Linked DNA regions of Elephas maximus indicus. The protein of the gene in region 4 purifies or fractionates together with the protein of the main gene of each other region. This does not show direct contact. Links are inferred from orthologs where the notes say so. Each region holds a gene or a part of one and is shown on either strand. Other genes may lie near its edges. The genes, in order: GLI1, STK3, REST and BTRC.

Region 1 (8,161 bases), on a different chromosome or scaffold from region 4:
TTAAAGAGAGCATCACTGGGGCAGAAGGCAGGGGAGAATATAAGCAGAAATGTCCCAAAGGGGCAGAAGCAGTCTTAGGGATCCTTGGGATTGGGTGGGGCTTTGCCTGGGTGGTCTCTATATGTGTGTGGGGGGTGGGGGGAGGAGTATTATGGACTGATTGTGCCTATATGGCAAACCCTGGTGGCTTGTGGTTCAGTGCTATGATTGCTAACTTAAAGGTCGGCAGTTCAAATCTGCCAGGCACTCCTGGGAAACTCTATGGGGCAGTTCTACCCTGTCCTATAGGGTCGCTATGAGTCAGAATCGACTGGACAGCAATGGGTTTAGTTTTTGGTTTGGTGCCTACATGAGCTTCAAGCGATTTTAATGCCATGGGACTTCTCCTTCTTCTGGCTCTGGCCATGGGCCAGCTTTAAGGAGTGGAATGGGGGAACTCATGTGGGTGTCTGACTTCAAGCACTGGGCTGCACAGCCACAGCCCCTTTCCTTCACTTGCCCTGCCCTGTGACAGCTGTCTACAATCTCTCCGGATCCAGCAGAGGGAGCCCTCGCCACAGGCCAGACAGAAGCTGGTGGGACGAGAAAGGCTCAAGGAACTGCCCCTTTTTTTCCCTCTTAGGAGAAAACTGTGTGTAGAAGGGGAGGTTTGTGAGGGGAGAAGGTTTGAGGGGAGCCTCGGGTCTGTTGTGTACAAGAGATGGAAGCCTGTGTTATTCTGGAGTGGTTTTGCATCTGGGCGCCTACCCTTGGTCTCTGCTCTGGGGCAACAAGAAAAGGGCAGTCAGGGAAGGCGTTGGGAGAATGAAAAAGCAGTCATCATCCTTTAGAAAGGCCTTGCGAGGGAGGATAGGGCGCCGCTGTCCGCTCTTCTCCTCAAACTCCAATTTAGACTCCACCCCAGGTCTTCCCGGGCTCCCAAGGCTGAGGGTGGGGTGGGGCGGGGTAGGGTGGAGAACGAACGGGAGCGGTCCGGCGGGCGCGGTGGGTGATCCCGGGATGCAGGGATTTAGGGTGAGGGCGGGGTAAAATGGGGCGCGGAACCCGGACCCCACCACCCAACCCAAGCTCCGCAGCCTGGGCCGTACCCTTCCTAACTCCTCCTTTTTCCAGCCGAGATCCGGATCCCGCATCCAAGACCTCCCAACTCGACCTTGGCACTATGCTGGGGGGGGGGCACAGCTGGCTGGCAGCTGGATGGGGGGACACTATTCCCTCCTCCTTCCTCCATGACTCACCCAGGGGAAGGAGGCGGGGTCGCAAAAGACCCCCTCAACACTAAAGAGATTCCCCCAAAGTGCCTATTCCGTCATCTTCCTGCCCCACTGCCCAGCCACCCAGGACCGCGATGGAAATGGGGCGACATCCCTCCTCGCCCACGCGTGCCACAGCCCACCCACATTTCCCTTCACACTAATGAAAGGAAAATTTCGCCAACTTTTCCAGCTTCAACAAAGTTTTTTTGGGGTATGGGTGAGAGTTCAAGATGGGGCAGGAAGCTCTAGGGTTCCCCGGCCGGAGCCGTGAATCATCTTAAATGTCTCCCTATTTTCCAGAGTCCCCATTGCAACCCCGCTCCTCAACTCCCAAGAGTCGGCCCCGCCCCCTTCTCCCGGTCCCGCCTTCCCCGCCCCCGTGCCTCTTCGGCCCACCCAAGTCGCCGCCGCAGGCTCTGGCTGCAGTCGGCTCCGCTTCCCCCGCCCGCCCCGGGAGCCCAGTCAAGCGAGCCGTAGTGGAGGGGGGGTGAGGGGCGGGACGCATTCTTCCCTCCTCCCCTCCGTGCATCCATAAAGCAGGCAGTGGCGCCCTGGGGGACACTATTGGAGAGTGGGGGATTCCCAGGGCGGGTGGGAAATAAAGATAATCCAGAAAATATAGGGAGAGAAAATGATCGGGTAAATAAAATAAGGTGTATATGGGGGGAGGGGCCAGGACACCGTAGGTTCCCGGGTATCCCAGCCGGTTTCCCAAGGGTTAATCCCGTCCAGACCCCCGGGAACCCCCTAGTGACGTCAAAGGCGGGGTCTGAGCGCCGGGCGGGGATGCCAGAGAGATAATGGGGGGGTCTCTGGACCCCGCCCCCTAGGGAAAAACCACCTTAATTCTCCCTCGGGAATTCGCCCCTCCTTCTCCTTCTACTGGGGCCTAAAGACCAATCTTATGAAGACCTCAGTTCTCCAGCCCCCTAAAACCCTCAGTACCCAGTCTCTACGGGGTCCCCCTCCCATAATCCTGTCCCCAATGCTAGCTGCCCATTGCGGATTGTTTCGGGGTCATGGGGCCTGAAAGAGGCTTCAGAGGCGGGGAGCAAGGGCAGGCAGGGTGGTCTGAGCCAGAGGAGGGGCCTCGGTCCCCAGCTCCCGTTTGAGGAGGGGGAGGGCAACCGGGATGCGCAGGCTGGCAATGGCCGGTGGTCCCGCCCAGCCCCAGTAGGGGTCTCCCTGCGGCTGGCCCTAGCTGCCCTGGTGGTCTTGAGTTCAGAGGGTCAAGCCAAGGTCTCCCCACCTCCTCTTTGGCGCCCTACCTACATCCCTTGGGACTCAGGAGTCCAAATTCCCTGAGGAGCCTTTCTACGGCCTCGATTAGACACTGGGCAGCCCTTCCAAACTCCTTTCCCCAAAAACACATGCACTCACGGGCACATCTGTCACAAGACAGGTCAGAGGTTCAAGCCCAGCCGCCCCTCAGTGGTTTTATCGTCTCACCACACACACACACACACACACACACACCCATCCCCATCCCACCTAGGGCTCCCTCCTTCGCGGTTCCCTCCTTTCAGAAACATCGACGTTTTTCTGCCTGGCTCTCAGACACACACCTGGAGTTCCCTCTCTACCAAGCAGAACTCCAACTAGCCGTCCCTCTAGCCTCTTCTTCTCAACTCCGGAAAGTGAGATGTTTCTAATATATGGGAGAGTAGGAGGCAGACAAAGAGACCCACAATTGCCTGAGACAGAGACACAGACTACCAGACTCAGAAGAAGAAGGAGGAGGAATAAGAGATACAGAGAAAGATATAGAGCTACAAATTAAAAATTCCTCCCAAGTTTCTAATTTCTTACCCCAGGCTCTTCCACCCCCATTTTGCCCCTATGCCCAGGTCTCCTTCTTGGCTGGCTGAGTCCCTCAGAAGCAGGGCATCCCCTCAGGCCCCTTCCCCCACCGCTCCCAGGTGGTCCCCCGCCTACCCCCCTTCTCACCTCTGTCTGGGCGCTGGGCTTGGGATGCGCGGTCCAGGGCTGGAGTCTGGGCTGGGGGGTGTAAGGTGGGGGGGGCGGACGGGGCCACGGCGGCGCAGCCTCAGTGCCACCCCACCCCCCCCAACCTGGTCCCCAGCCCTCCAGCCGGCCCAGCCCGCCGGGCCGCGAGCCGGGACCACCCGCGAGAAGCGCAAACTTTTTTTTCTTTTTGCAAAAACTTTCTCGCTCTAGCCTCTGGCGCGCCGCCGCTCTTCCCGCTCGCCCCTCACCTCCCTCCTGTTTCCCTCCCTCTTGCCGTTCTTGAGGATGAGGCGAGGTGGCTGCAGGGGAGAGAGGGGGTGCCGGGCTTATTGCACCCCCAGGACCCCCAGGATCCTCCCCCTCCCTTGAGGGACCCTATACTGCCTCCCGCCCCCCCCCCTCGCCGAACACGCTGCTGTCGGTAGGCAGTAAATCCCGGCCTGGATCCTGGATCGGCTGCCCACGAAGAGGCCCTAAACCCCAGCCAGAAAAACAGATTGGGAAATAACATTGGGAGAGGGGGAAGGCGACGAAAAAGTTCATCTTAGAAAATATTAGAGATAGGATTGTCGACTTTGATTGATGCTAACGCAGCATTCTCTCTCCCTGAGGTTAATCGGCTGGCTTCGTCCTTTGGATGGAACTTGGATGGGTTCAGACAGAGCTGGGGTTTGGGGGAGACGGGTTGAAGGGCTGGGGGCCCTAGGTGGAAGGTGTCTACGGAGCATAAAAGAGAGAAGCAGCGGCTGAGGCCTGAGTACAGGGTATGCGTTCACAGGTCACCTAAGGGGTCCTGGGCCTGAATCGCTGTTCCCCGAGAAGCACTGTTGACCGAGAATCCCCGCTTTCCTTCATCTGGAAGTTCGGGAGACTTGCAGACACCTCCGCACCTCTCCACTGCCGGCTGTCTTTTCGCTCTTCAGGGCTTTCTACTCCCTCTGCTGGCCTATCTGGCACATGACACCTCTCGGATACTGCTTGGAGGCGGAGGAGACTGGGGAAGCTGAAGGAGTAGGAGGTTTTCACTCGTCGCCCCACCCACCCTCAGAAAGGGGTCTAGGACCGGGGATATGTGAGCCCAAAGAAACGGAGGGGCACACTGGCAGCTGCTGCTAGTGCAGAGCTGTAGTGCCGAACCGAAAGGGGAATGCCCTGTGAATTTGGATTTTTGTCACCTTGGTGACCGAATGCAGGGAAAGGGGCACCTATTTTAGTCTCTGTGGCCTTTATACCAAAAGGGTGAAAGAGTCCCTTCCCCTTTCTGCCAGCCCTCAAACAGACTCCACATCTCAGGTCTGCTTCCAAGGACAACCTCCTTGGGCCTGGAGGTCAATTGGTTAACTGTTGTCTGAGGGCATGGGGAAATGATGAAGTTAGGGAGAGTACAGGGTCCTACAAAGATAGGTAGTAACTATGGGGTGGGGAGAGGGAAGACAGATAGGAGCCTTATTTGAACCTTCCTCTGCCCGTATGACATTGACCCAGACACCAGTTATATGGAGAGGATCAGGGACCCATCTGGGTCAGGCCAGACCAATGGTCACCAAAAAGGAAGGAGCGAACCCTATACCACTCATTCCAGCTAGACGCCCCTTCCCCCAAGGGAGCTCTCTTTTAGAACACCCTCTCCACCAGGTTCTCTAAACCAGTGGCTCTCAAACTTTTTGGTCTCAAGACTACTTTACACCCTTAAAAAATGCTGAACTTTTATTCATGTGGCTTATATCTATCAATTTGCCGTATTAGAAATTAAAATGGAAAACAAATTTAAATACAAGAAAACACAAGCACACATTCCATTCACAATGACGTCAGAAAGATGATGTAATCATATGTCATGCAGCCTCTGGAAAAATCCATCATACACTTTTAAGATAATGAAAATTTAAAAAGGCAAACAACATCTTAGTATTATTATGAAAATAGCTTTGACTTTTGAACACCCCTGAAAGGGCCTCAGGGACCTTCCAGGAGTCCCCAGCCCACACTTTGAGAATTGTTGCTCTGGACCATCACCCCAGCCTGTTTCATGACTCACACTTGTTGATTTTTTTTTTCTCTCATTTTTATTAGGAAAGTATAAATGTTTGTCTCCCCAGTGGGTCCTGCCCCCCAGGAAAAACTGGAAACTTCTTTGGGGCTCAGCACCCCTCTTTCTTGATCCTGTTTCTGGGACTTTCCTAAACACCCTCCTTCAGCCCGTTGCCCATCTCCCTCTTGGCCCTCCCTTAAGACGCTTCAACAATCCCTACCCCTGGCCAGCCTGTTTCCCCTTCCCCAAGCCTGCTGGGCCCTCTGCTTCCTCCTCCCCCTACCTGAGGACTTTTTCTTCTTGGGAAAGACTACAGTAATTTTTCTCTGCTTTATTCTTCCCACCCTCTCTCCCTGCCTCCCTCGCACCTGCCATTTTCTCATAAAGTTTAGACTAGAAATCATCCTTTCTAGGTAGACCTCTTTGGAGGAAACACTTTACCCATCTCCTCACACATCAACCAGCCTCCAATAGACCAGGAGTCTGGACAAAAAAGTACCCATTTGGGTCACATATTACCAGGTCGCCTATGGGGTGGGGATGTTGACCAGGAATCTGATGCCTTCAGGCAGATGCCTTCAGGCAGATGCCCTTTGTGTGGGAAGCCCTGACTTGATCTTTTCACTCCAAAACCCCAGGCCCTCTGACTAGCTGCAGCCACAGGCCTCCACCACCATATCTGGCACATCTGTCTTGACCACGTTGCCATTACGGTCAAGGTATAGGAGGGACAAAGGCCTTCGGGCAGTGGGGACGCAGCAGGAGGTACCCGAGGGCCAAGGGTTATTGGCCTTGAGGAGGCTAAAGACAGCAGAGTGGAAAGAGGCAGCAATGCCTGGGCTGCCAGCCAGGTGCAGGGGGCACTGCCCATTGCAGTAATTCAGCTGGTACCCCTCAGGCTGCAGGATCCAATCCCGCCATCCCAGATCTTGGAAGTCTACGTAATGATCTCGCCTACAACATAAGGGGGTCTCAGGTTCACAGGTGGGGGTCCTCCTCCTGGCTCGACCTGCTCCAGGCTCATTGGTCCGAATCTTAAGTTCCAAGAAGGGCCGCTGGTCACCCTGTGCATCCAGGAACCGCTGCTGTGGCCGAACAGCTGTGCTATTGCCCTCTAGGGGTCTGCAATCCAGCTGGAGTTTCAGGACGCCTGACTCCTCACCCCTCAAGCCACTAGAGGGCAGAGTCAGGGCATGCCAGCCCGGGCTATTCATTTGGTGCTCAGCCAGTAGGGTGCGGGACCCTCGGCGCCTTCTCCTTGTGTTCCACCGGATGATCCTCAAGTAAAGGGTGCCAGGAAGGGTGGGGAGCACATACAGCCAGAGACGGGCATGGTACAAGCGGTGGGCCCGAGGAGTGGACAGGTTGAAGGTGAGCACGGAGCTGCAGGTTGAAGCCAAGGAGTCTGCCCAAAAGATGGAGAAGGGAAAGAACCGTGAGCCTTGCCCACTGCTCTCCCTCAGCCCACTTTCAGAAGAAATAGGGACTGCCTTGTAACCTCGAAACCAGTCCTTGCCCAACTCCTCCCTCTCCTACCACACCCTGCTTCCTCCGCCTTTTCTGCCAGCCTCCCCTTCTGCCTCCCTTTTCCTGACCGTTCTCCGCCTGTCTCTCCGTTACCCACCTGTGATGGTAGCAAAGCTGATGACTTCCTCCGCATTTACTGGACTCACACTTCCTGGCTGTAGTCTCCGAAGCGCTCTGGTCAGCGCTGCCTGGGGTGGAGGGTGGGTTATTCTGGGACGACTGGTCAAGTGCAGCCCCTCCAAGATTTGCTGCTTGGCCAGCTCTAGGACCAGAGCTCGTTCTGTTTGGGGTGCCAGTGTGGGGCTTCCACAGGAGGGACACACAGACTCTGCCTCCTGGGCCCACACCAGTGCCCACAGCAGCACCAGCTGGAGTGGGACATCAGGGAGCCTCATGCTCCTGGTGGATGGCCCTGGGTTGAGAGCCCTGGAGTTTGGATGGAAGTTGCTCCTTCTGTTGAGTCCAATTGCACGAGGGCCAATGTGGCACAGCATTAGCAGACGCCAGTGCCACACCTACCACTGGCCAAGAGTAGAGCCACCTGTTTTCTATCGCCTGGAACTCAGGAAGGCGGATCGTCTGATGGGCTGCTGTGCTTAGCTCTGTCTTCCAGTTTGACCCTCACAGCTTATGTCTGACTACTGATCTGGGGCCTCTTTAGAGCTGGTGTCTGGGGCTCCCCCACCTAGTGGTCAGCCAGCAGACCTACCTTCTGAGCCCAGGGATTGGACAGCTGTGCTGCCCATCAGGCCCCTGCAGGGGGTGGAGGTCCCCCCCTTGGAGCTCTGGTTTCACCATCTGGCCATGGTGGCGGGGGTTGAGGTAGGGGTATGGGGGTGGGGGGATAATGTGGACACGCATGATGCAAGAAAGAGGTTGATTTCACATGCTCAGTTCCCAAGGTCTGGGCCTTGGGGGAGGGGACTCCATATGAGCCAGGTGGGGAAGGGCCATGTCTCCACATACCTTGAGTTTTTCTAGCTTGCCCAATGGCCACTGCCACACCACTTCCCATGAGGTAGCTATGAATCCCAGTGGGGATTCCTCTGGGGCCTCTGAGCCAGAAGGAGAACTCTGGGCTCTTTATTTCTAGCAATCAGGCTAGGACATGGGTGGGGCTTGGGGAGAACGGAGTCCTCTTGTCCAGGCAGAGGAGGCAATGCTGTGGGGCACAGAAGTCACCCCCTGACTGTGCCTATGCTGGCTGCCCAGAGTCCAGTTGGACTGGGGCACAACATGGAGGAAGGCCAGAGCATGGGGCCGGGGAGGTGGAGTGGTGTTACTGTGATGTCTAGGGGAAACCCAGAGAAGTGGGGGGTGGCAGTGATGCAACCTCATAGCAGGACAGAGTCCATCAAGGCTGGCAGAAGGGCATGGG
Region 2 (7,506 bases), on a different chromosome or scaffold from region 4:
TTTCTTGGTAGCATGAGGTCCCCATATATCTCTGCTTGCTTCTGTCTTTTATATCTCAAGAGAGATTGGCTGAAGATACAACCTAATCTTGTAGATTGAATCCTGCCTCATCAACATAACTGCTGCTAATCCCACCTCCTTGACATAGAGGTAAGATTTACAACACATAGGAAAATCATGTCAGATGACAAAATGGTGGACAATCACACCATGCTGAGGATCATGGGCTAGCCAAGTTGATAGATATTTTGAGGGGACACATTTCAATCCATGAAGGTACATAATATCAATATGACTTCTCACTGTCGATGTTAACCTCGATCACCTGGCTGAGGTAGAGGTAATGCTTCTCTACTGTAAAGTTACTCTTTGTCCCCACCCTTTTCATATTTTACTCTTAGGAATACAGTATGAAGGAAGTCACTGTATGCAACCCATACTTAAGGAATGAGGAGTTACGCTCCACTTTCTTGAGAATGGAGTATCTTCTTTGTTTTTAATCATTCATCTCTTCAATCTATCTCAAATTTATTCTGATAAATGGTCATAGTGGACATTGAGGTAGCTTCTTCCTCTTCTTTTTTGTGTAATAGGTATTTTTTCATTGGGGTAGTCACAGTGGAAATTGACACCATCCTAGCTCTAAGGGCCCCCTCCTTTAACCCAATCAGGGAATTCCCATCCCTCTTCATGCACTGATTTAGTCAGATAAACCAATCATTTGTTCAGGCATGAGCCAAATCATTGATGACAGGGAATGGTCAAGCTGACAATTTGAGCCAATGAGACAAGAAAGGAGGTCGTTGAGGCATTCTAGAAGAGAAAAGGTTCCTCCTCCTTTTAAGGGAGCTACTAAAGGAAGTACAGCCAGAATGCTCCTTAGAAGTGAGGATAGCAATATTTCATCTCATATACTTTGGACATGTTACCAAAAAGGAACAGTCCCTGGAGGAGGACAACATATTTAATTAAATAGAGGGTCAGCAAAAAAGAGGAAGACCCTCAAGGAGATGAACTGACAGAATGGCTGCAACTATGGGCTGAAACATAGCAATGATTATGAGGATGGCATGGACTAGGCAGTGTTTCGTTCTGTTGTACATAGAGTCGCTATGAGTTGTAACAACTTAATGGCATCTAACAACACCACCACCATCAAAAGATAGTGCTTTTCTCCTTCTTGGCTCTTTGGTGTTGTTTCTATCACCAAGACCATATTTTCTGAGCCTTCTTCATTGTTTTGACTTTTGTATTCCAATTGCCAGTAATTATCAATGCATCTTGATTGCATGTTCAGAAGTTGGTAAAAATCTTCAATTTCTTCATCTTTGGTCTTAGTGGTTGGTGTGTAAATTTGAATAATAGTCGTATTAACTGGTCTTCCTTGTAGGTGTGCAGGTATTATCACTGATAGTGTTGTACTTCAGGATAGATCTTGAAATGTTCCTTTTGATGATGAATGCGTTGCTATTTCTCTTCAATTTGTCATTCTTGGCATGGTAGACCATATGATTGTCTGATTCAAAATGACCAATACCAGTCCATCTCAGCTCACTAATGCCTAGGATATTGATGTTTATGCATTCCCTTTCATTTTTGAAGACTTTCAATTTTCCTAGGTTCGTATTTTATACATTCTGATTATTAATGGATGTTTGCAGCTGTTTCTCCTCATGTCGAGTCTGTCATATCAGCAAATGAAGACCTCGAAAGCTTGACTCCATTCATGTTGTTAAGGTCAACTCTACTTTGAGAATGCAGCTCTTTCCCAGTCGTATTTTGAGTGTCTTCCAACTGAGGGGCTCATCTTCCTGTGCTATATCAGACAATGTTCCACTGCTATCCATAAGATTTTCACTGGCCCACTTTTTCAGAAGTAGACCTCCAGGTTCTCATCCTAGCCAGAAGAGACTCTGAAACTGGCTCTTGAATGTAGAGTAGCTAAAGCAAATGGAAGAACTGAAGAAGTAAAAGAGCTGAACAGAAGATTTCAAAGGGCGGCTTGAGAAGACAAAGTAATGAAATGTGCAAAGACCTTGAGTTAGAACACCAAAAAGGAAGAATATACTCGGCATTTCTCAAGTGGAAAGAACTGAAGAAAAAATTCAAGCCTCGAGTTGCAATATTGAAGGATTCTATGGGCAAAATACTGAATGATGCAGGAAGCATCAAAAAGAAGATGGAAGGACAACAGTCACTGTACCAAAAGGAATTTGTTGATGTTCAACCATTTCAGGAGGTAGCATATGATCAAGGACTGATGGTACTGAAGGAAGAAGTCCAAGCTGCATTGAAGGCATTGGTGAAAAACAAGGCTCTAGGAACTGACAGAACACCAACTGAGATGTTTCAACAAATGTATTCAGTTTGTCATAGAATTTATCTTCATATATAACAGAAACTTTTTAATTTCTCCTTATAACTGATGTATAAGGATGGTGGATTTTATAAATGAAATACATTTTTGTTTTATTGAGTTCTGTGATGAGTTCAGAAATAAGAGCCAGGAATTGCTGTATTATTCTGTATAACAAAGGAAAAATTAGGGATCCCAGGTTAATCCAGGAGGCCAGAGGTGAGAAGAGGAGAACAGAATTTCTCTAAAATTTTCTCTGCCCTTCCTACTTCTTTGTGCAATAGATGTGACGTTGGCTAAGGGGTTGATGGGTTTGCTGAAGAGTCTCTGTTTGCCACTCCTCTTCATATTCATTGTTTTACCTTCCAAGAAAACTGTACGTAATTCTATGTCTTGAACAATTTCTAACAAAAACAAGTTAACTCATTACATTTGTTAAAACAAAAATAGTATTAAGCCAATAATAGAAATTGGTTGAAGTTTACTTAATATAAGATTTGTGAATCAAGGCAACATTTCCAACTAGAGAGTTAAAAATGTTCCAAAGAAGAAAGACCTTGCAAAGATTCTTCTACCATAGCTTATCACTAGTAATTATGCATTGCCATGGAAACAGGGCCAAAATAGCATTTACATAATAACTTATGGTCCTGCAACATTTTTTAAAGCAATATTTAAATAGTTACTGATTGACCCTAAAACATAGCTTCTAGTCTGACCTTCGGAGTTTCTGTTGTTGAAACTGACTGCACAGAGATAATTCTTTAAAAAAGCACAGTGTCCAAGGCAAATATCCTTTACTAATTAAGCTAGACTATTCTTTGAGTTAAAGATGACTCTCAGAAAACCAGTTTCCTCAAGGTTTAAAGTTCAAAGATTATCTCAGGGTGATAGTTTGGATCAGTCATTTCAATCTCCAAGGAATCCAGAAGTCTGGATTCCATGAGAATTAAAAACTCCCTTCTTCACATGGCAACTGTATCTGGTCATAAGAAAGATATCTATATGAATTTAAGGTTAAACAGGACACAGACAATATGGATGCGTTGTTGTTGTTGTTAGTTATCACCCAGTCCCCTCTGACTCATGGCGACCCCATGTATGAAGGGGTCAAGTTGCAACTGGGTGAGGGTGTTGGGAACAAGTTATTGGGAGAGGGCGAAAAAAGGGGAGGAAACAAAGTTTTCTTGAGTACTTTTCATGCAGTATAATTTGTGATAGGTTTGCCAGGTTACCCAATTAAATAGCTGGCAGTCCCCTAGTACAGTAAATCTGGTGTGCTGAGACATCTCACCACAGCAATTATTTTCTCTTTAATTAGATGTAATTATTGTGAAATATAGTGAGGAACATGTCCACAATCAAAATCAAACAGGAATTTCCAGAAGTATCCCTAGTATTGTAGTTACAAATGTCAAATGTCTGGGGAAAACATAACCAATAATTATAAGGAGAGAGAGAAGCGTGGGTTATTAGTAATAGCTCAAGCAGATTCACAAGATGCTAGAGATGCATCTTGTGGGAAATCCAGAGAAATAAGTCACATCAAATTGGGGCAAAGGCAGCGAAGGCGAGTGAGGAGCAGAAGCTCTGGGCTAGCTCAAAGCCATGTGCCTCTAGCCTCACCTAGCTCTTCAGGCCAGTTACATACTGCCCCCCTTCCCCCTTCCCTGTACCACGGCCGGCCACGCCCCCGTCCCTGGCCCCGCCCACTGTCCCGGGAGTCCTGCAGGCTGCGGCTCAGGGGCGGGGCGGGCCAGGCCGGGCGGGAGGAGTCGCACGCCAGAGCGGGCGGAGGATCCGCTGCGGAGTTACGGGAAAGTTGGTCCGAGTTCCTGGAGTTTCCCTCGGCGGTTGCCCGGCCCAGCCGGCCGGTGCCCTAGCTCCATTTCCCCTTACAGCCTTCTCCGCCTGCTTGCTCCTTGCTTCTGTCCCCAGCCGCCATGGAGCAGCCGCCAGCACCCAAGAGGTAAGCAGCGTGGGCGGGGAGAAGGAGGAAAGCGCCCCGGCAGCCGCGGAGCGGGGCGGCTAGGCCTGGCCCGACCGCGACCCCTCCTGCCTGCTGGGCCTCGAGCTGGGCGCACCGAAGGTCCGGAGGCAGGTCCCAGTGTCCCGGCCGCGCCTGTCCCCGAGGCGAGGGGGCCCGAGGGGAGACCGCGATTGGCTTTCCCCGGGTGGCGGGGCCTGGCGCGCGTGGAAAGTCGGGTCTGCAGCGCCGGGCTCCCCGCAGCCCAACCTTAGGAGACTCCAGGGCGGGTCGAGTTTTTCCTGGTGGCAGTTCCACGAAGCCTGGGAGACGTAAAACTTGGAAATTATTGGTCTTCTTACAGCAATGTAGGCTTCTTGTCACATGTTCTTCATAATACCTCATTTTTTTGAGAATGTGTGTTGCTTACTTACCACTTAAGGAATTAAATATTAATAATTAGACAGCCTGTAGAACTTTGTGTATATGCTGCACTGACAGGTGTCTCCTCTCCCTCAAGTTCCGAAGTATTTATGGATGCAAGACAGTAGGAATCTTAAATTAGAAACACTCCCCCTTAGAGTTTTTTGTTTTTCTTTCAGCATTTAAAAATAGTGTTGCTTTGGTATTTATTGATAACTCATTTTTAATCTTTGATATTATATTGGAAATATAATGGAGTACACAGTAGATGCGTTTGAATGAATATTTTAAATGATTTTAGGAAGCTAAATAAAGGCTGTCCACTGATACAAGTTCAAAATGGCATTTTTTCCCAAGAATGAATTAACTGATGTCGGATAAATCGTTTAACCTCAGTCTTCCATTTATGATTTGTAAAATAAGTGTGCTGATCTTTCTCCCAGATAGTGCTGTTGTGAAAATTAAAGCTTTGATACTTAGAGCTCTTAAGTGGAAAGGTGTTGTATTCAAGAACATGGAATACTTAAAAAGGTAGGAACTTTGAGAGCTATTGTGAATTGTGTGACTTGACATGTGAGCCTTGAAGCCTGGAAACCATCTGTTCAGGTGAAAAGGGGGGTGGGGTGGGTGGAGGGGTTTTCAGAAGGAGTCTTCTATCAGAACCCTTGAAGCAAGTCACCTCATAGATTTTGTGAAAGTATCTGTATTCTAGAACTGACTGAGCACTCCGTTTTAATAGTATAGAAGAAAACTGGGAGCTTTTTTTTTTCTCTTCTGTTTTGGAAAGACTTGTGAAGTGGCACCTCTCAAATGATGCCATAGGTCAACTTTGAACAACTTTGAATTGGTAAAAGCTCTCAGTATTGATTAGCTCTACTGTAAGTTATCAGAGTTTCATAATAGGCATACGATGTAATGTCCTTGCCTTTGCAGGGACGTTAGAAGTAGTTGTGAGTGGGAATCCACTGGACGATAGTGGGAGGAGTGGGTGGTAATTCCATATGGTTGCACAACTGACAGACTTATTTTCAGCTCTCTTCAGAGAGACTTATGTTGATCCCTGAAGGTATTTCTGAAGAGTAAAAGATAAAAGTTACATTAGTCCCTTATATTTGAGTGTCCTTCAAATGTTTTTTTGTAGCATTTTCGTGTTCATAATTTCACTTAATTCTCACAGCTACCGTATTGGATAGGTTGGGTTACAGGGATTCATCTTATTTATAGATGACGACACTTAGCAGAGTTTGCCATATGGAATGCTATGAGGGGTTACTGACAGTGTGTTTGTGTTGTCCCTATTGATTATTACCTTCTAATAATAAAACATATCTACTATTTTTGAGGGCATACTGTTTGCTAGGAACTTACATTCCTTTATATAATCCTTCTAAATAATAGAAATCCTGGCTCTGCCACCTGCTAGTTCTAAATTTAAATTTCTTCGTCTGTAAAATGGAGAAAAGATTGAAGTTGTCAAGGGTTTCATTTTACTTGGATCCACAATCAACAGCCATGGAGGCAGCAGTGAAGAAATCAAAAGACGTATTGCATTGGGCAAATCTGCCGCAAAGGCCCTCTTCAAAGTGTTGAAGAGCAAAGATGTCACCCTGAAGACTAAGGTGCTCCCGACCCAAGCCATGGTATTTTCAATCACATCATATGCATGTGAAAGCTAGACAATGAATAAGGAAGACCGAAGAAGAGTTGACGCCTTTGAATTGTGGTGTTGGTGAAGAACATTGAATATACCATGGACTGCCAAAAGAACGAACAAATCTGTCTTGGAAGAAGTGTGGCCAGAATGCTCCTTAGAGGCAAGGATGGCGAAACTGCATCTTACATACTTTGGACATGTTGTCAGGAGGGTTCAGTCCCTGGAGAAGGACATCATGCTTGGCAGAGTACAGGGTCAGCGGAAAAGAGGAAGACCCTCAATGAGGTGGATTGACACAGTGGCTGCAACAATGAGCTCAAGCATATCAATGATTGTAAGGATGGCGCAGGACCGGGCAGTGTTTCGTTCTGTTGTGCATAGGGACACAATGAGTCGGAACCAACTGGACGGCACCTAACAACGACAAAAAAATGTCAGGATTCAGTGAGGTAGTATTTGAAGCACTTAGCACAGTGCTCTGTAATGTGTTCAGTATCATTTTTGTTAGCTGCTGTTGAGTTGGCCCCCAACTTGTGGTGACCTCATGTACAACAGGTTTGTACCAGTGTGATCCACAGGGTTTTTATTGGCTGATTTTTGGAAGCAGATTGCTAGGCCTTTCTTCCTAGTCCATCTTAGTCTGAAAGCTCCACTGAAACCTGTTCAGCATCGTAGCAACATGCAGTCCTTCACTGACAAATTGGTGGTGGCTATGCCTGAGGTGCATTGGTCGGGAATCTAACCTGGGCCTCCTGCGAGGAAGGTGAGAATTCTACCACTGAAAGACCACTGCCCTTGCAATAACGTTAATAGTTGTTATTATCAAGTGGAGGAGGTGCCAGAACCCTGGTCTGTTGCTTGCAAAGGCTGTGCACCCTCCCATTGTATCCAGTGATGCCTTTTTTTGAACCCCTTACTTGTTTTCTTAGCATTCCATGATGTGGTACTCATTTTTTCCTAAAATCTTCTCATCCCTTTTGCTTGTTCTCTCCTTAATCCCTGTAAAAACACCACCTTGCTTTTCTGTTTTGAGTAGTACTTCCTCAGTGCTCAGATATTTTACATAGTGTCATGGATTGAATTATGTCCCCCCAAAAATGTGTGTAG
Region 3 (7,709 bases), on a different chromosome or scaffold from region 4:
GCCAACTCATAGTGACCCTCTAGGACGGAGTAGAACTGCCCCATAGGGTTTCCAAGCAGTGGCTGGTGGATTCAAACTGCCGACATTTTGGTTAACAGCCATAGCTCTTCACCACTGTGCATCCAAGGCTCCAGGATCTTGTTACTATTAATTTAACAAATACTGTTGGGCAACTACCATGTTCTAGGCATTGGGGATAAAGTTGAATTTCTCTGCCCTTCTGGAGTTTGGAGCATAGTGGTTAAGAGTGGCACAGTGGTGAAGAGCTATGGCTGCTAACCAAAATGTTGAATCCACCAGCCTCTCCTTGGAAACCCTATGGGGCAGTTCTCTTCCGTCCTGTAGGGTCACTATGAGTTGGAATCGACTTGATAGCAACATTTTTTTTTTTTTTCCTGGAATTTAGGGTCTAGTGAGGGGAGATAATAAATAGGTTAAATAAATAAAATGCATGGAATGATAGTGATAAATATTAAAGAGAAAAAGCAGGGAAGGGGAATAGGATTAAGACAAAGAGAAGGGGGGGTTAATTTTAAACAGTGTGGCCACTGAGAGGGTGGTATTTGAATCACGGAGGGGAGGAAATGAGCTGCTTGGGCAGAGGGATATTTATTGTACAGACTTTCAGAAGAGGAACAGCAAGGGACCTGAGTTGGGTGAGTAGCCAGTGTTCAATGGGGCTGGTGTGGCTGAAGGGAAGGGAACCAGGGGGATTGTAGCTCAAAATGTGATCTGGGTTCCCAGAAGGTTAGAAGGAGCCCAGCTCATTCTCATGTTCCTTTCTTGCCTGCTTTCCTTCTCTCAGCATTTACAGAACACCTCTATAGCTCAGGCTGCAGACACTGTAGTGGATAAGACAGTGTGTTAAGCAGTCCTCAGAACCAGGTCAAAAGGTCAGGGTCCAACTGGCAGCAAGGATGAATGCTGCTGCATCAGACAGGACTAGACCAGAGCTTCTCACTTCCTTCTGCCTTTGGGAAGGATGACTCTTGAAGGTAGTGTGGCTACAGGCCTACAAGTGGGCCTTGAAGAGGGCAACAGAGAGCTACAGAGAGGAAACAAGGGGGGCCTCATATACTGAACTTAAAAAATATGTAATTGTGCTAGGAAATACATGTACATGATTCAAAATTTGAAACAGAGTAAAAAGCACCAGAAGTTGCTGAGAATTTTAAGTACCACTAGTTCAATCTCTTCATTTTACAGAGAAAACTCCAGAGAAGGGATTCTTAAAGGGTCAGATGAGAAATGGGTCTCTTGTGTCCCTGGCCAGTGTGCTTTCTATTATATTCCAATCTTTCTTACACCCCACCAGGACTTTCAAAATAAACTTATAAAGGAAACAAAGCAACATTTTAAATGGTGCTTTCAGTTCACTTTTAGTTAAATGCGTAATAGAAATTGTGCTGACTCAGATGTAAGAATGTAAGAGCCAGGTCAGTTACACCTGGAGGAGATTTCTGTGGGGGCAAAGAGGGTGCTGGGTACTGCTGGAAATGAAGGGAGGATGGAAGAAAGGCCCCAAATTTTGTTCCTTGACAGACCAATGTCTTCACTCTGACTTTTACAGCAGAAAGTGGAACTGAAACCTTTCAACATCAGGATACAGATGTTGCACCCAATTTTTAATCAACCCAAACCTTGAGTCAGATGTAACATTTAAAGCAGATTGTTGAACTTCAGTGTAACATTAATGTGGGTTCAGTCAAATTACACTCTTTTCTAAAGAAAACATTGAGACATGGTTAGGAATAAAAAGCACATGGAAGCTGAAAAACAATATTTTACCAAACTTTTGAAATAAATCTCAAGAGAAAATATTAAGAACATATGACAATTAAAGTTAAAAAAAAAAACTGCTGAATTAAATATGCAGGAAAGAACCCATATTCTCAAAATAACAAAACCAGAACTCATTCACATTTCAGTCTTTATCTTGCAAAAGATCTTAAAATTTGGATGCAACAAAGTAAAATACTGCCTCTTGAAAAACAATGAAGAATTTAACTTCATAGTACCAGCTTCCCCCAAGGTAATTTTCTATTGATTTATAATTTGGCCTTGAATTTGACCTGCGGCCTTCATGTCTTGATAATTTGGGTCATTCTGAATATGTCATCCCTTGAACAAGGGCCTTTGCTAATTTTAAGTGAATGCAGCTGCCCCATTTGCAATTCTTCTATTTGCATCACAATATGTGGGAATAAATTCACAATTAATAAAACATTTCCATTAAGCAGTCAGACCAAGGAAATGAAGAACATTCATCTAGTAGGTTTAAAAAGAGATTTCTCATTTTTTCCTTTTTGGACCTAAAAAGGGGCCCTGGTGGACAAAAAAAAGGGTAAGAAAATAGTTCATGTCTTTGACAACTTTCATAGAGGACAGAATTGGTCTCTGGGGTACAGCATTTAGAATAGCCATGTAACCTCAAATTAGATTTTAGTTTAAAAAGAAGGGGGGAAAAAAAGAATAAACATAGAAAAATTTTGTACCAAGCCTAAACATCTAGAAAAGTTGGCCTTGTTCCTTAGTTCTCTTTCTCTAAATGAAAATGAATACTTATCAAGTTTGATTCTTGGTGATGGTTGGGGTGGGGGGGGGGGGTTGTGTTTTAAATGAAGTCGCTGAAACTTTTAGCCGTCTTTAGGCTCTTCATTCTATCCCGCATCTAAAAAACAAACAAACTAACCAGTAGCCACGGAGTGGAATAGGACTTCTAGCAATCCTATAGGACAGAGTAGAACTGCCCTACAGGGTTTCCAAGGAGTCCCTGGTGGATTCAAACTGCGGGACTTTTTGATTAGCAGCCAAACGCTGCATTAATTAGTAATATGTTGTCTAGATATAGGAAAATAAGAGTCTTACTGAGGAGTGTACTAGAAAGCGTCAAGTCTGGAAGTCCTGCCTGAAGAGAAAGGAGTGAAGGAACTGAGGGAGCCAGAGGAAGAGCTAGGGGTATCTTAGGCGGCTTTGGGCTTTTGAACTGGTTTTTACAGTTTAAATGGTCCTTCACCCAGGGCTAAAGAGAATTCTACTTGTTGAATTCTCATTCTCCAAGGTCAGATTGAATGTTATCTATTGTGAGAAGTTTCTAGATCCTCCTAGTTAGGATTCAGCTCCCTATTTTGAATCCCCGTAGCCCTTGCTGCCATCTTTATTATGATGCTAGTGACAGGCCGACTAACCTAGATCAGGTTAGGCAGGGCCTTGAATGCCACACTAAAGAATTTAAGCTTTTAGTTTGTAGGCCATTGGGAGCTATTAAGTTTCTAAGGACAGGCCTGACACAAGACTCATGTTTTAAGAAGGTATCAAAGGCACTTCGGGTGGAAACAGAAGGTAAGGAGTGCATGAAACTACTTTTTAAGCATATTATCATATGCCAGGCATTTTGTGTAGTTATTCCAATTTACAGACAAAAAAAAAAAAAAAAACCAAAAACCTGTTCCGACTCATAGCGTCCCCATAGGACACACAACTGCACCACAGAGTTTCCAAGGAGCGCCTGGTGGATTCGAACTGCTAAACTTTTTGGTTAGCAGCCATAGCACCTTATCACTCAACCACCAGGGTTTGCATTTATAGACGCGGAAGCCAAATTTAACAACACGTGGACGCCGGCAGCTTCACCACCTCTTCAGTTCTTTACCCTCAGTAATGTGGTTTCTATTCTTCCACTGGAATCGCGTTTTCAAGGCTCAGCAATGAGCTGTTTACCTGACACGTCTAGGGAGTTGTCCGCTCAATCTTATTTTTACTAACTGTTCTGAGGCTTTTAACACCGCTGTTCATAACGTCCTTCCCCGAACATTTTCTTTTCACAACAAACACACTAATTACATTTTCCTCGCTTACTGTTTGAAATTTGGATTGCATTTTTACCAAAAAAGTTTAAAACGCAGTTTAATTAGTTACGGGTGGGGATGGGTGGAGACTTGAAGAGATTTTGAAAAGTACTTTCTAGCGCTTCAGATTTAAGAGCCCAGTGACAATAGTGCTAAACAGAACGGTCAAAGCCTGCAGACTTTTCTTTTAACAGCTCTATTCTGACGCATGCACGACAGGGTTGGGGATAACTTTTCTGTTGTTTGCTTTTAAGAGAACTAAAGGAGCGGGGCCCGCCTCTTTTTTGACCTAAGAGCAAGAGTGAGGGACCGCGCGGATTTAGGTACGGCCCCCTCTAGGCGCGACCCCAGTCCAGCGAGGGTGTGTAACTACCCCCTTCGCCGAGGGGCGGGGCGCGCCCAGCGGCCACGCGCGCGGGCGGTGGAGGGGGCGTGTCTCGCGAGGGCGCGCAGGCGGCGGAGGGGGCGTGTCTCGCGGGCGGCGGCGGCGGCGGCGGCGGCGGCGGCGCGGGCCGGATGCGCGGCGCAGCCTCCTGTGTTGGAATGTGCGGCTCCCGCGAGCTCACGGCGCAGCGGCAGAGCGAGCGCCGCCGAGGCCCCGGGCCCCAAACCCGGGCGGCGGCGGCAGCCAGGACGACAGGGCGAGGGCCAGCGGCCTGAGCACCCACAGCAGCCCTACTCCTGGACCTTCGCGGGCCTCGACGGCCCAATCGCCCAACTTTTCTACCCTGCACCTCCCCTCCCCCGAAACTCCAGCAACAAAGAAAAGTAGTCAGAGAAGGAGCGGCGACGCCGGGTCGCCAGCTCCTCGTCTCCTGGTTAGGTGGGTAAGCCGGGCGCGGGGCGGGGGGCTCGGTCGGCGTGGGGGAGGGCCGGCCCGGTAGTGGCCGGGCGGCGGGAGGGGGAGGGCGCGGAAGGACGCGGAGCGAGGCGCTGTCCAGGGCTGATTTGCAGATACTGTGGCTCCGCGGCGGCGGCCGTACCGGGCGGGGGCGGGCGGCCGAGCGGGATCGGGTTACACCGCCGCGGCCCGGGGGCTGGGCCGGGGGCGTCCTTGGGGAGCGGCGCGTCGTCGGGACCCCCTCCACGGGCGAGGCGGGGTCGTCCCCTCGGCGCGGGCCCGGCGCCCCTCGAATTCCGGTCCTGAGGCCGCGAAGCGGAGCTGCTCGGGGCCCCAGTCCTGAAACTTCCTCCTCCTCCTCCCATTCCCAGGTCCCGCCGCCCGCAGCAGCCCCGCGCCGGCCCGAGGCCCTCCCCTCCACCCTTCCCATCCCGGCCTCTCCCTTTTGCCGAAGGCGCCGTTGAGTGCGGCCGGGCGGGTTGAGTCAACCCCGTGGCCCGGGCGGGTCCGCCAATGGGGCTGGACAGCGATTTCTGCGCTCGGGCCGCCCCGGCGCCTCAGCCCTCCGCGCGCGGCCGCCGGCTTGTCCGACCTGGCGGACCCGGGGAGAGCGTCCTGCCGGGCGCCGTGGGGGAGTGAAGTTCGCAAACTTCCGGGGCGCGGGGGTGGCGGCCGGCGCGCGTGGGGGCCCCCTGCCTGCTCTGGGCCGACTCCTCCTGAGGGCGCCAGCGGAGGCTCTCCGGTCCTTGGCGGAGGGAGAGCCCCGGGGCGATCAGGAGAGCCGGGGCGCCGGAATTACGGTAACTTTCCTCTTTCCTCCCAGACCCGGGCCCGCGGGCCGGGAAAGGGACTGCCTGGACGTGGGAATGACTTGGTGTGGCCCCATGAGCCCCAAGTACCCATCCCCCTCGTTTTTAGTGTTGGGGGACACAGGAAAAACCTCGGGACGGTTGTTGGGGCAACTCGCGCGAGTTGGTGTGTAGATGTGTGCAGCGTGTAGGCCCGAGAGGAAGCGAGAGCGCCCGAGTTTGCAAAGAGCTGCTTTGTGTTTGGTATTTTGAGAAAATGGCCGAATGCCTATTTCAGTCAGGAATGCCGCCGCCGAGGCAGGCGCTGGTGGCAGCAGCACATAGGAATTTGTGCAACTCGTAGGGCTGTGCTTCGTCGGTCTTCCTCACAAATGTTAAAATTCCTTTAGGGATAGTAGGTAGTAGGATTTTGGAGGGATTAGAAAAGTTGATGTTTGGGTAAATACCGAGTAGTCTGTGCTGTTAGGCACTGGGAAACCTTTTACGGTTAGTTTGTTTTCTCTGTTGGTGTTTTGATTCCAACTTTTTCTTGGTACCTATTACTAAACCGGCTTGTGTTCATAAACTTGATTGAAATGATCTCCTTTTTGTATTTTAGGTTTAACTGTACTTTTTAGTGTAACTTGTCGCATATTTTGGCTTTTCTAATTTGGAAGAGAACAGCTAAAGTATTTGAAAAGCAACGTGATGGTCAAGACCATTTAAAAAGCCAACATGTTTTCAAGAAGGTGATCTTGTAATGGCTTCCATTAGGGCAAGTAGGCCAAGTCAAGCACAATGCACAAAAAGTTACTGGTTGTGGAATGTAGAGTTGTAGGTTTTTTTCATTAGAGGGGTTGAAAGATTAATTCTTAATCTTCGTTTGTGAAGTTTGGAGTAAGCTAAACTTCCCTTTTTCACAGGAAGAGGGTCCATGATTATTTTCCCCTTTGAAACCAGTGGAGTCATCAAAAAATTTAGACTGAGTGGTACTTTTTCCACAATAGCTTATTCTTCTGAAGTTAGTTGGGTTGATATGGAATTTAATTAGGTTGACCAATTATTACAGCCTTCCACTTTCCAGACGTGCTTGTGAATATAAGGCACAACAGTATGATTTTGGGGTTTTTCAGCTCAGATTTAGACCAGTGAATTGTTGGGAGAATAGGAGAACAACAATATGCTAATCATGTATTGAATTTTAAAATAATTTTAATTGATGTTGAAAATGAAGATTACTTGTTCTTTACCCACCAGAAAAATGAAGTTCTTGAGGGAAGACCTGCTAATCAAATATAAAATTAATCACCTAGTTGACCTAGTCGGTGCGTGAGTTATGTCAGTACTGTTGATAAAAATTTTTTAGGCGTAATAAAAGTTTTTCTGTTGACTGAAAAAAAGAAAATTGGTGATTACAAGAATATTTTGAAGGTTTGTTTTTAGTGGTTTATTAAGCTTCTGGAGTTTTAAAGATTATATTGGAAAAAATGTTTTTTTAGTTAGGAAGAATTACATTGATGCTTTCATTTCAGACTATTAAAAGTTGTGTTTTATTTTTTGTTTATTTTAACTTCAGACAGAATACAGTTATGGCCACCCAGGTAATGGGGCAGTCCTCTGGAGGAGGAGGAGGGCTGTTTACCAGCAGTGCCAACATTGGAATGGCCTTGTCTAACGACATGTATGACTTGCATGACCTCTCTAAAGCTGAACTGGCCGCACCGCAGCTTATTATGTTGGCAAATGTGGCTTTGACTGGGGAAGTAAATGGTAGCTGCTGTGATTACTTGGTTGGTGAAGAAAGACAGATGGCAGAATTGATGCCTGTTGGGGATAATAACTTTTCAGATAGTGATGCAGAAGTACTTGAAGAGTCTCCTGAAATAAAAGGTGAACCTAATGGACTGGAAAACATGGAACTGGAAAGTTTGGAACTCAGTGTTGTAGAACCTCAGCCTGTATTTGAGGTATCTGCTGCCCCAGAAATTTATAACACAAATAAAGATCTTCCTACCAAAACACCAGGAACAGAGGACAAGTGCAAGAACTTGAAGACCAAACCATTTCGCTGTAAGCCATGCCAGTATGAAGCAGAATCTGAAGAACAGTTTGTGCATCACATCAGAGTTCACAGTGCTAAGAAAGTTTTTGTGGAAGAAAGTGCAGAGAAGCAAGCAAAAGCCAGAGAATATGGCTCTTCTGCTGCTGAAGAGGGAGATTTCTCCAAGGGCC
Region 4 (7,417 bases):
TATTACTGTAAATTAGGGATAACAACAGCTATTTTCAGAGTTACTATGACTATTTAAAAACAAAACAAAACAAAACAAACCCATTGCTGTCACGTTGATTCTGACTCATAGCAACCCTATAAAAACCCTATAGGACAGAGTAAAACTGCCCCATAAGGTTTCCAAGGAGCGCCTGGTAGATTTGAACTGCTGAACTTTTAGGTTAGCAGCCGAACTCTTAACCACTACGCCACCAGGGTTTCCACTATGTATATTAAAAAAAAAAAAATATTAGGGATTATAAATGTAAAATACCCAGTATAGTGCCTGGCACAAAGAGCTAATAAAACGATAGCTGTTGTTGTTATTATTATCTCACCCACTGATTCTAGTTTGCTCTGTGAAGCTACATACATATACTTTCAAATAGCCTTTCAAATACTTGAAGTTAATTGTCATGTTATTCCTATGTGTTCTTTTTTCAGAATAAGCATCTATCAGTATTTTCTCTCTTGGATATCCTGCTTTTGGCTATGCTCCTGCATGGGATCTTTGTAGAATGGGGTGCCCATAATTGAACAAGGTACTGTAAATGTAATCTGGGTGCTTCAAAATAAAGTAAGACCATAAGCCTCTTTGGCCCAGATCCTACTTCTGCTCAAGCTGCCTAGGGTTCCTTTAGCTTTTGTGGCAATCACGTCACATTACTGCCTTTGGCCTAGGAAAACTCCCAAGTCTTTTTTCACATGAGTTTTAAGTCTCCCTCATTTTACACTTGTGTAGAACTTTTTTTCAAACACGAGCGCAAAACTTTATATTAGTGGAAAGCCTGTTACGTATCAGATAAGTTCTGTGGAAATAGGGATGCCTACGACAAATCATTAACACGTTAGAAATGTAAGCTCCACAAGGGCAAGGACTGAGTCTGTTGTGTTCACTACTGAATCTCCACTTTTTGTCATGATGTCGGCACACAGTTATATGCTTAATGTTTGTTGAATAAATTACTGAATAAAATATTTACAATGGAGATTTTTTCTTATAAGTTAAAAGGTATTTCTCTGATTCACTTATTTTTTTTTTTTTTTTTATAATAACTTTTATTAAGCTTCAAGTGAACGTTTACAAATCCAATCAGTCTGTCACATATAAGTTTACATACATCTCACTCCCTACTCCCACTTACTCTCCCCGTCTTGAGTCAGCCCTTTCAGTCTCTCCTTTCTTGACAATTTTGCCGGCTTCCCCTCTCTCTATCCTCCCATCCCCCCTCCAGACAAGAGTTGCCAACACAATCTCAAGTGTACACCTGATATAATTAGCTCACTCTTCATCAGCGTCTCTCTCCCACCCGCTGACCAGTCCCTTTCATGTCTGATGAGTTGTCTTCAGGGATGGTTCCTGTCCTGTGTCAACAGAAGGTCTGGAGAGCATGACCGCCGGGATTCCTCCAGTCTCAGTCAGACCATTAAGTTTGGTCTTCTTATGAGAATTTGGGGTCTGCATCCCACTGCTCTCCTGCTCCCTCAGGGGTCCTCTGCTGAGCTCCCTGTCAGGGCAGTCATCGATTGTGGCCGGGCACCAACTAGTTCTTCTGGTCTCAGGATGATGTAGGTCTCTGGTTCATGTGGCCCTTTCTGTCTCTTGGGCTCTTAGTTGTCATGTGGGCTTGGTGTTCTTCATTTTCCTTTGCTCCAGGTGGGTTGAGACCAATTGCTGCATCTTAGATGGCTGCTTGTTAGCATTTAAGACCCCAGACGCCACATTTCAAAGTGGGATGCAGAATGATTTCATAATAGAATTATTTTGCCAATTGACTTAGAAGTCCCCGCAAACCATGTTCCCCAGACCCCCGCGCTTGCTCCGCTGAGCTTTGAAGCATTCATTTTATCCCGGAAACTTCTTTGCTTTTGGTCCAGTCCAATTGAGCTGACCTTCCATGTATTGAGTGTTGTCTTTCCCTTCACCTAAAGCAGTTCTTATCTACTGATTAATCAATAAAAAAACCCTCTCCCACCCCCCCTCCCTCCCCCCCTCGTAACCACAAAAGTATGTGTTCTTCTCAGGTTTACTATTTCTCAAGATCTTATAATAGTGGTCTTATACAATATTTGTCCTTTTGCCTCTGACTCATTTCGCTCAGCATAATGCCTTCCAGGTTCCTCCATGTTATGAAATGTTTCAGAGATTCGTCACTGTTCTTTATCGATGCGTAGTATTCCATTGTGTGAATATACCACAATTTATTTACCCATTCATCCGTTGATGGACACCTTGGTTGCTTCCAACTTTTTGCTATTGTAAACAGAGCTGCAATAAACATGGGTGTGCATATATCTGTTTGTATGAAGGCTCTTGTATCTCTAGGGTATATTCCGAGGAGTGGGATTTCTGGGTTGTATGGTAGTTCTATTTCTAACTGTTTAAGATAACGCCAGATAGATTTCCAAAGTGGTTGTACCATTTTACATTCCCACCAGCAGTGTTGATTCACTTATTTTTATAAATTCAGATCATTTACAAGTCTAACATAATCTCAGTTTTAGCTTAAACCTAGAGTTTTCTCCTCCTAGGGTAATCCAATTTCCAAAATAAACACTAATTATTCCTTTCAAGGTCAAAGAAAATACTCACATGCTTTAGCTGCTGGGTGGCCATTATATTCCACCACTGAAGGCCTTTTGTAAACAAGTACCCCCTTTGACCCTTAATGCACTGTTTACATCCCAGGGTTAACACTAGCAAACCATGCCTTCTGAGTGTTAAATACCTGAAAATTTCCTGAGCTGACATCTATCTGGCCCTGTTTTTCTGCAGGGGGGGAGAATAGGTCTTTTGGAAGAAATATGGGGAGCTAGCTTTGGAGGACCTTGAAATTCTTCATTGGTCTGTGACCTGCTGCCAGGTACCCACAGGCCCAGTGCCTCTGGGTCACAAACCCTTCCGCAGAAGCTAGATATATGGAATTTGGGGTTGACTAGTTCCCTAAATTCAGTATAGATTAAACATCAGCATAAAGAAAACTAAAATCCTAACAACTGGACCAAAAAGCAACAGCATGATAAATGGTGAAAATATTGAAGTTGTCGGGAGTTTCATTTTACTTGGATCCACAATCAACATCCGTGGAAGCAGCAGTCAAGAAATCAAATGACACATTGCATTGGGTAAATCTGCAGCAAAAGCCCTCAAAAATGTTAAAAATCAAAGATGTCATATTGAGGACTAAGATGGACCTGACCCAAGCCATGATCTTTTCAATCACCTCATATGCATGCGAAAGCTAGACAATGAATAAGGAAGACGGAAGAATGATGCCTTGCAATTATGGTGTTGGCAAAGAATATTGAGTACGCCATGGACTGCCAGAAGAACGAACAAGTCTCTTGGAAGAAGTACAGCCAGAATGATCCTCAGAAGCAAAGATGGATGATGACAAGATTTCGTCTAAGGTACTTTGGACATGTTATCAGGCGGGATCAATCCCTGGAGAAGGACATCATGCTTGGTAAGTCATAGGGTCAGCGAAAAAGAGGAAGAACCTCAACGACGAGATTAATTGACACGGTGGCTGCAACAATGGGCTCAAGTCAACAACTGCGAGGATGGCACAGGACCGGCGGTATTTCGTTCTGTCGTACGCAGTGTCCCTGTGAGTCGGAACCGACTCCACGACACCTAACAATAAGAAGTTCCCTAAAACCACAGTTAGGGAGGTCCCAGGACCTCTGAGTCCTCTCATAGTTTTTTCCAGTATTTGGGGTACAGGTGAGGTATACCGGTCGCCATCTTGATATCAAATGTCAGGCAAGCTGCCATTGGCGTCTCACGGTAACCACGGAGACACCCGTGCCCCTCCCATTCCTAGAGGCCATAAACTACAATTCCCATCAGCAGACTTTCCCTTGTTGACCGACAGTTGTCTAGGCTTGACTCGTCTGCAACGGCGACCCTGCCGCAGTGAACCGCGGGAGTCGCAGTTCGTGGTGTGGTCTCACTTTTTGCTGCGGGAGGCACCAGAACTACAAATCCCGTGAGCCAGCGGGCTCGCGCATGCGCATGGAACAGCCGATCCTTGCTGGCTCCCTCGCCAGCGCCTAGAGTTAAGAAAGGGCGGGGTGAAGGAAGAGGAGGCGGGATCCGGGCGCTGCGTTGGCTGCGGCCTGGCACCCAGGGGGCGGCCCCGGCAGAGAGCGAACCCAGCGGCCCGGGTCGATTATGGACCCTGCCGAGGCGGTGCTGCAGGAGAAAGCGCTCAAGTTTATGGTGAGGAGAAGGTGCAGACCAGGGAGCGGTGGAGGCGGTGGCGTTGGCGGCGTCGCTGAGTCTCGAGTCTGGGCCTCCTGTCCGCTGGGGGAGGGGGCAGTGGGACCCCGGGCCGAGGCCGGCGACGGCGAAGGCTGAGGGGACAGGACCGGAGCTCCGGGGAGGCGGGAGGGAGTTGCGGAGGAACCCGGGAGTGGGGGCAGCAGCTCCGCCATCTTGTGGATGAGAGGCCAAGTGACAGCGGGGGTTTAATCCGGGAGGGGTCTCCGGGCAGCGCGCGGGGCCGTGGAGAGAAAGGGGCGTGGGGACAGTTACTGAAGAGCGGAGGAAGCCGGGAGGATAGACGCCCAAAGGCCGCTGGCAGGGCCTTCCTGGTGTCAGGGTTACGGGTAAGGCCCGGAGAGGAGGTGCGTTCAGGAGTGGGGAAGGGGAGCGCGGGATAGTGGGAGGACGTATATTGGAATTAGGAGGGAATCGGGCAGGGCTGGATGCAGATGGATCTAAGAGTGGACGAGGGAAAGCCAAGGCTGATGGGAGACTTGTAGTTTTGTAGAATGAAGAGGGAGATAGCCTTTGCCTTGAGGGTGGAATCCCAGCTTAGCCAAACTAATGTTGACAAACTCTGAGAAGGAGGAGGCCTTACTTAGGAAGATAAGGACTCGGAATGGGGACCTAGGGCCATGGTAACAGTCTCTGGGAAAGAACGGCGAGGTTGACTTGTGAGCCAGATTACAAACGTCAGGAAAAGGGATATATGCTCTACTTTGAAAGAAGAAGCTAAATATTGTTGTAAGGACGAGGCGATGAAAAGCAGGAGCCTAATTGGTCAGGGAAACTCGGGTATAGGAGTTTGAGGGCAAATTAATATCTAATAAAATACAAATTAGAGCTAACTTGTGGAGGTAGTGAAGTGTAGGGACCAGGTGCTGTATCACTTCCTGGGAAAGAAAGGGCCAAGGAGATTAGAATTGCAATGACCTATGTGATGAAATCAGAGGAGAAATTCAGGAGATAAAAGGGGGAATGTGGGTAGTCGGTATTGAGAGGAAAGTCAGAATTGGTGGTTCCCATCAGTTTTAGGTGTGAGCATGGGTTGGGCTTTGTGTGTGTGTTTAAACTCCTTGGAGCTTGTTTAACTTTGTATCATGCTTTTCTTGTGCTATACTTACATTTGGCACACGTGTGTAGTCTGATATCTCATGCTTTTAATCTGATGCTTCTTGTATATCCTAGGTGTAAAGCCAGACTTTGTGGTTACAAGTACAGAATGATGGGATGCATAGACTTCTAGCTTAACAGGGGGCTTTAGAGATATTGGTATTATTTGCAGTCAAGTCTTGCTTGCTTTTTCAAAAGTAATTTTAACCTGTCACTCCAAACCTTATTCCTTTGCTAGATAGTTATTACATTGTGTCTTTGTCTGAAATACTGTAACAATTTCCGAATCAATAAACATGGGTATTAATTGAATTAACGCTTTAAACTGCCCCACTTACAAGAATACTTCCCAAGAGACTGGTCAAATTTACTTAAACACCTAAATAAAGTTTGACTGTATCGAAAACAAAATCCCATTAAACTTGAAGAAAGTTCTTGAATGTCTGCCTAATTTTGAAATCTTAAAATATTTAAGAAGAGACTTTGAATTTTTTTTTGATTTTAGAAATTAGAGGAAATTGTTTTATGTCTATAGCTAGCTTCTAAATTTAGTTTAAGTCAGAAAAGTGGCAGCTGCTTATTTTTATTTTCCTATTTAGAGGGTTGACTCTTAATCCTAGTCCTGACACTTGTGTCAGATTTATGGAATAGTGTTATTTACAGATCGTAAAGAGGCATTATGAGATCATCTTCTTTACTCCCCATTAGACCTCAGCCTATGAACATTCTCAACTATTTGCTCTCTGCTTTGTACCAGTAAGTTATGTTTCCGTAATAGCCTTCTGCTTGAGTTAATTTGGACCTGAAGATGGCCAGTGTAGAAGTTTCCAGCTTTTTTGGGGCACACATTATTAAATGTTGAGTCAGTCTCCATAGGGAGAAGCCAATTTTTTCTTTAAGTTACTTTCATTTTTGACCTTGCCTGCTACTGTGGTTGCTGTTTGAGAAAAGGCCAACTGGAAGAGGGTCACCAAGAATGACACCTTAATAACTGATGCAGAGAACAGAGAGCCAGAGACTTGGTATTCTCCTTCAACTCAGTAACAGTCTTATTATGAATCTGAGTAAGTCACAGCTTCCCTTTGGTCCCAATTACCCCACCATAACCTGTGTGTTTATTCAGGGTGAACTTTGAGTTATGAAGATATTTTATTTGCTCTTGAACCAACTAATTAGTTTACAGTACACATGGAAGGGCTATCCTTTAATCAAATTGAAATTTTTATAGTGTTTGCTTTATTTCTTGCCTGACTCCTCTCAGTTGTGAATTACTAATTGTAACTTTTGTATAGATGCCTTGATTTCCATAGTTTAAAAAAAAATGTATAGTTTGTTTAAAACCCCAACATGAAATGAATACCGTCTTTACCAGTTTTACTCATTACCACATTGATGCAGTGTTGCGATTAGGAATTTTATACTAAAATCTTATTAATGAGACTGCTAATTCAGTTGACCGTAATTCACACATGGTCTGTACTCTTACCCTTAGTTACTTGTGAAAAAGAGTTTAAGCAGAACATTTTATTTCTAAAAACAAGTGATATTAAAGAAGTGGTTTACAGTAAATAACTTGTATGCTAATGTTTCTCCCTCAGCTTTAGCAGGCCATTAGGACCTTTACTGATATTTACTTGGTCAACAAAAATCTAATACCTTAAAAAAAAGATAAATGGGAACTGTAAGAAGACCTGAGAAGAGAAACTAAAAGGACTGAGGGGATGTTAGCATTATTTTAATTATATTTATAAGGAGGCCTGGTGGTATGATGGTTAAGAGCTCAGCTGCTAATTGAAAGGTCAGTGGTTCGAACCCACCAGCAGCCCCGCTGAAGGAGAGACCTGACTGTCTGCTCCCCTAAAGATTATAGTCTAGAAAACCCTATAGGACAGTTCTAACCTGTTATGAGTTGGAATCAACTTGACAGCATACAACAACAGCAACAGGCATTATTTTATAAGGATATATGTATATATTTAATAGAATGACAAGCTGAGGGATGAATTCATTTGAA

The links.
Region 1: the proteins of BTRC (region 4) and GLI1 purify together in Homo sapiens (affinity purification with western blotting; 3 studies listed by BioGRID). This does not show direct contact. The link is inferred for Elephas maximus indicus from reciprocal best matches to the Homo sapiens genes BTRC and GLI1.
Region 2: the proteins of BTRC (region 4) and STK3 purify together in Homo sapiens (affinity purification with mass spectrometry; 3 studies listed by BioGRID and IntAct, counting the BioPlex papers as one, with this or other methods). This does not show direct contact. The link is inferred for Elephas maximus indicus from reciprocal best matches to the Homo sapiens genes BTRC and STK3.
Region 3: the proteins of BTRC (region 4) and REST purify together in Homo sapiens (affinity purification with western blotting; 8 studies listed by BioGRID and IntAct, with this or other methods). This does not show direct contact. The link is inferred for Elephas maximus indicus from reciprocal best matches to the Homo sapiens genes BTRC and REST.

The regions. Positions count from the first base shown.
Region 1 is NC_064822.1:117,378,654-117,386,814, reverse strand, and holds the start of GLI1 (zinc finger protein GLI1), read right to left. Parts: upstream 3,365-8,161; 5' UTR 3,204-3,364; intron 1-3,203. Other genes in the region: INHBE (inhibin beta E chain), read right to left, coding at 5,904-6,661, 6,881-7,277. UniProt on the Homo sapiens protein: Acts as a transcriptional activator. Binds to the DNA consensus sequence 5'-GACCACCCA-3'. Regulates the transcription of specific genes during normal development.
Region 2 is NC_064833.1:43,247,701-43,255,206, forward strand, and holds the start of STK3 (serine/threonine-protein kinase 3), read left to right. Parts: upstream 1-4,116; 5' UTR 4,117-4,299; coding exon 4,300-4,325; intron 4,326-7,506. UniProt on the Homo sapiens protein: Stress-activated, pro-apoptotic kinase which, following caspase-cleavage, enters the nucleus and induces chromatin condensation followed by internucleosomal DNA fragmentation.
Region 3 is NC_064823.1:104,103,510-104,111,218, reverse strand, and holds the start of REST (RE1-silencing transcription factor), read left to right. Parts: upstream 1-4,347; 5' UTR 4,348-4,671; intron 4,672-4,799; exon of another isoform or gene 4,800-5,489; intron 5,490-7,053; 5' UTR 7,054-7,066; coding exon 7,067-7,709. UniProt on the Homo sapiens protein: Transcriptional repressor which binds neuron-restrictive silencer element (NRSE) and represses neuronal gene transcription in non-neuronal cells.
Region 4 is NC_064834.1:52,978,889-52,986,305, forward strand, and holds the start of BTRC (F-box/WD repeat-containing protein 1A), read left to right. Parts: upstream 1-4,097; 5' UTR 4,098-4,197; coding exon 4,198-4,245; intron 4,246-7,417. UniProt on the Homo sapiens protein: Substrate recognition component of a SCF (SKP1-CUL1-F-box protein) E3 ubiquitin-protein ligase complex which mediates the ubiquitination and subsequent proteasomal degradation of target proteins. Recognizes and binds to phosphorylated target proteins.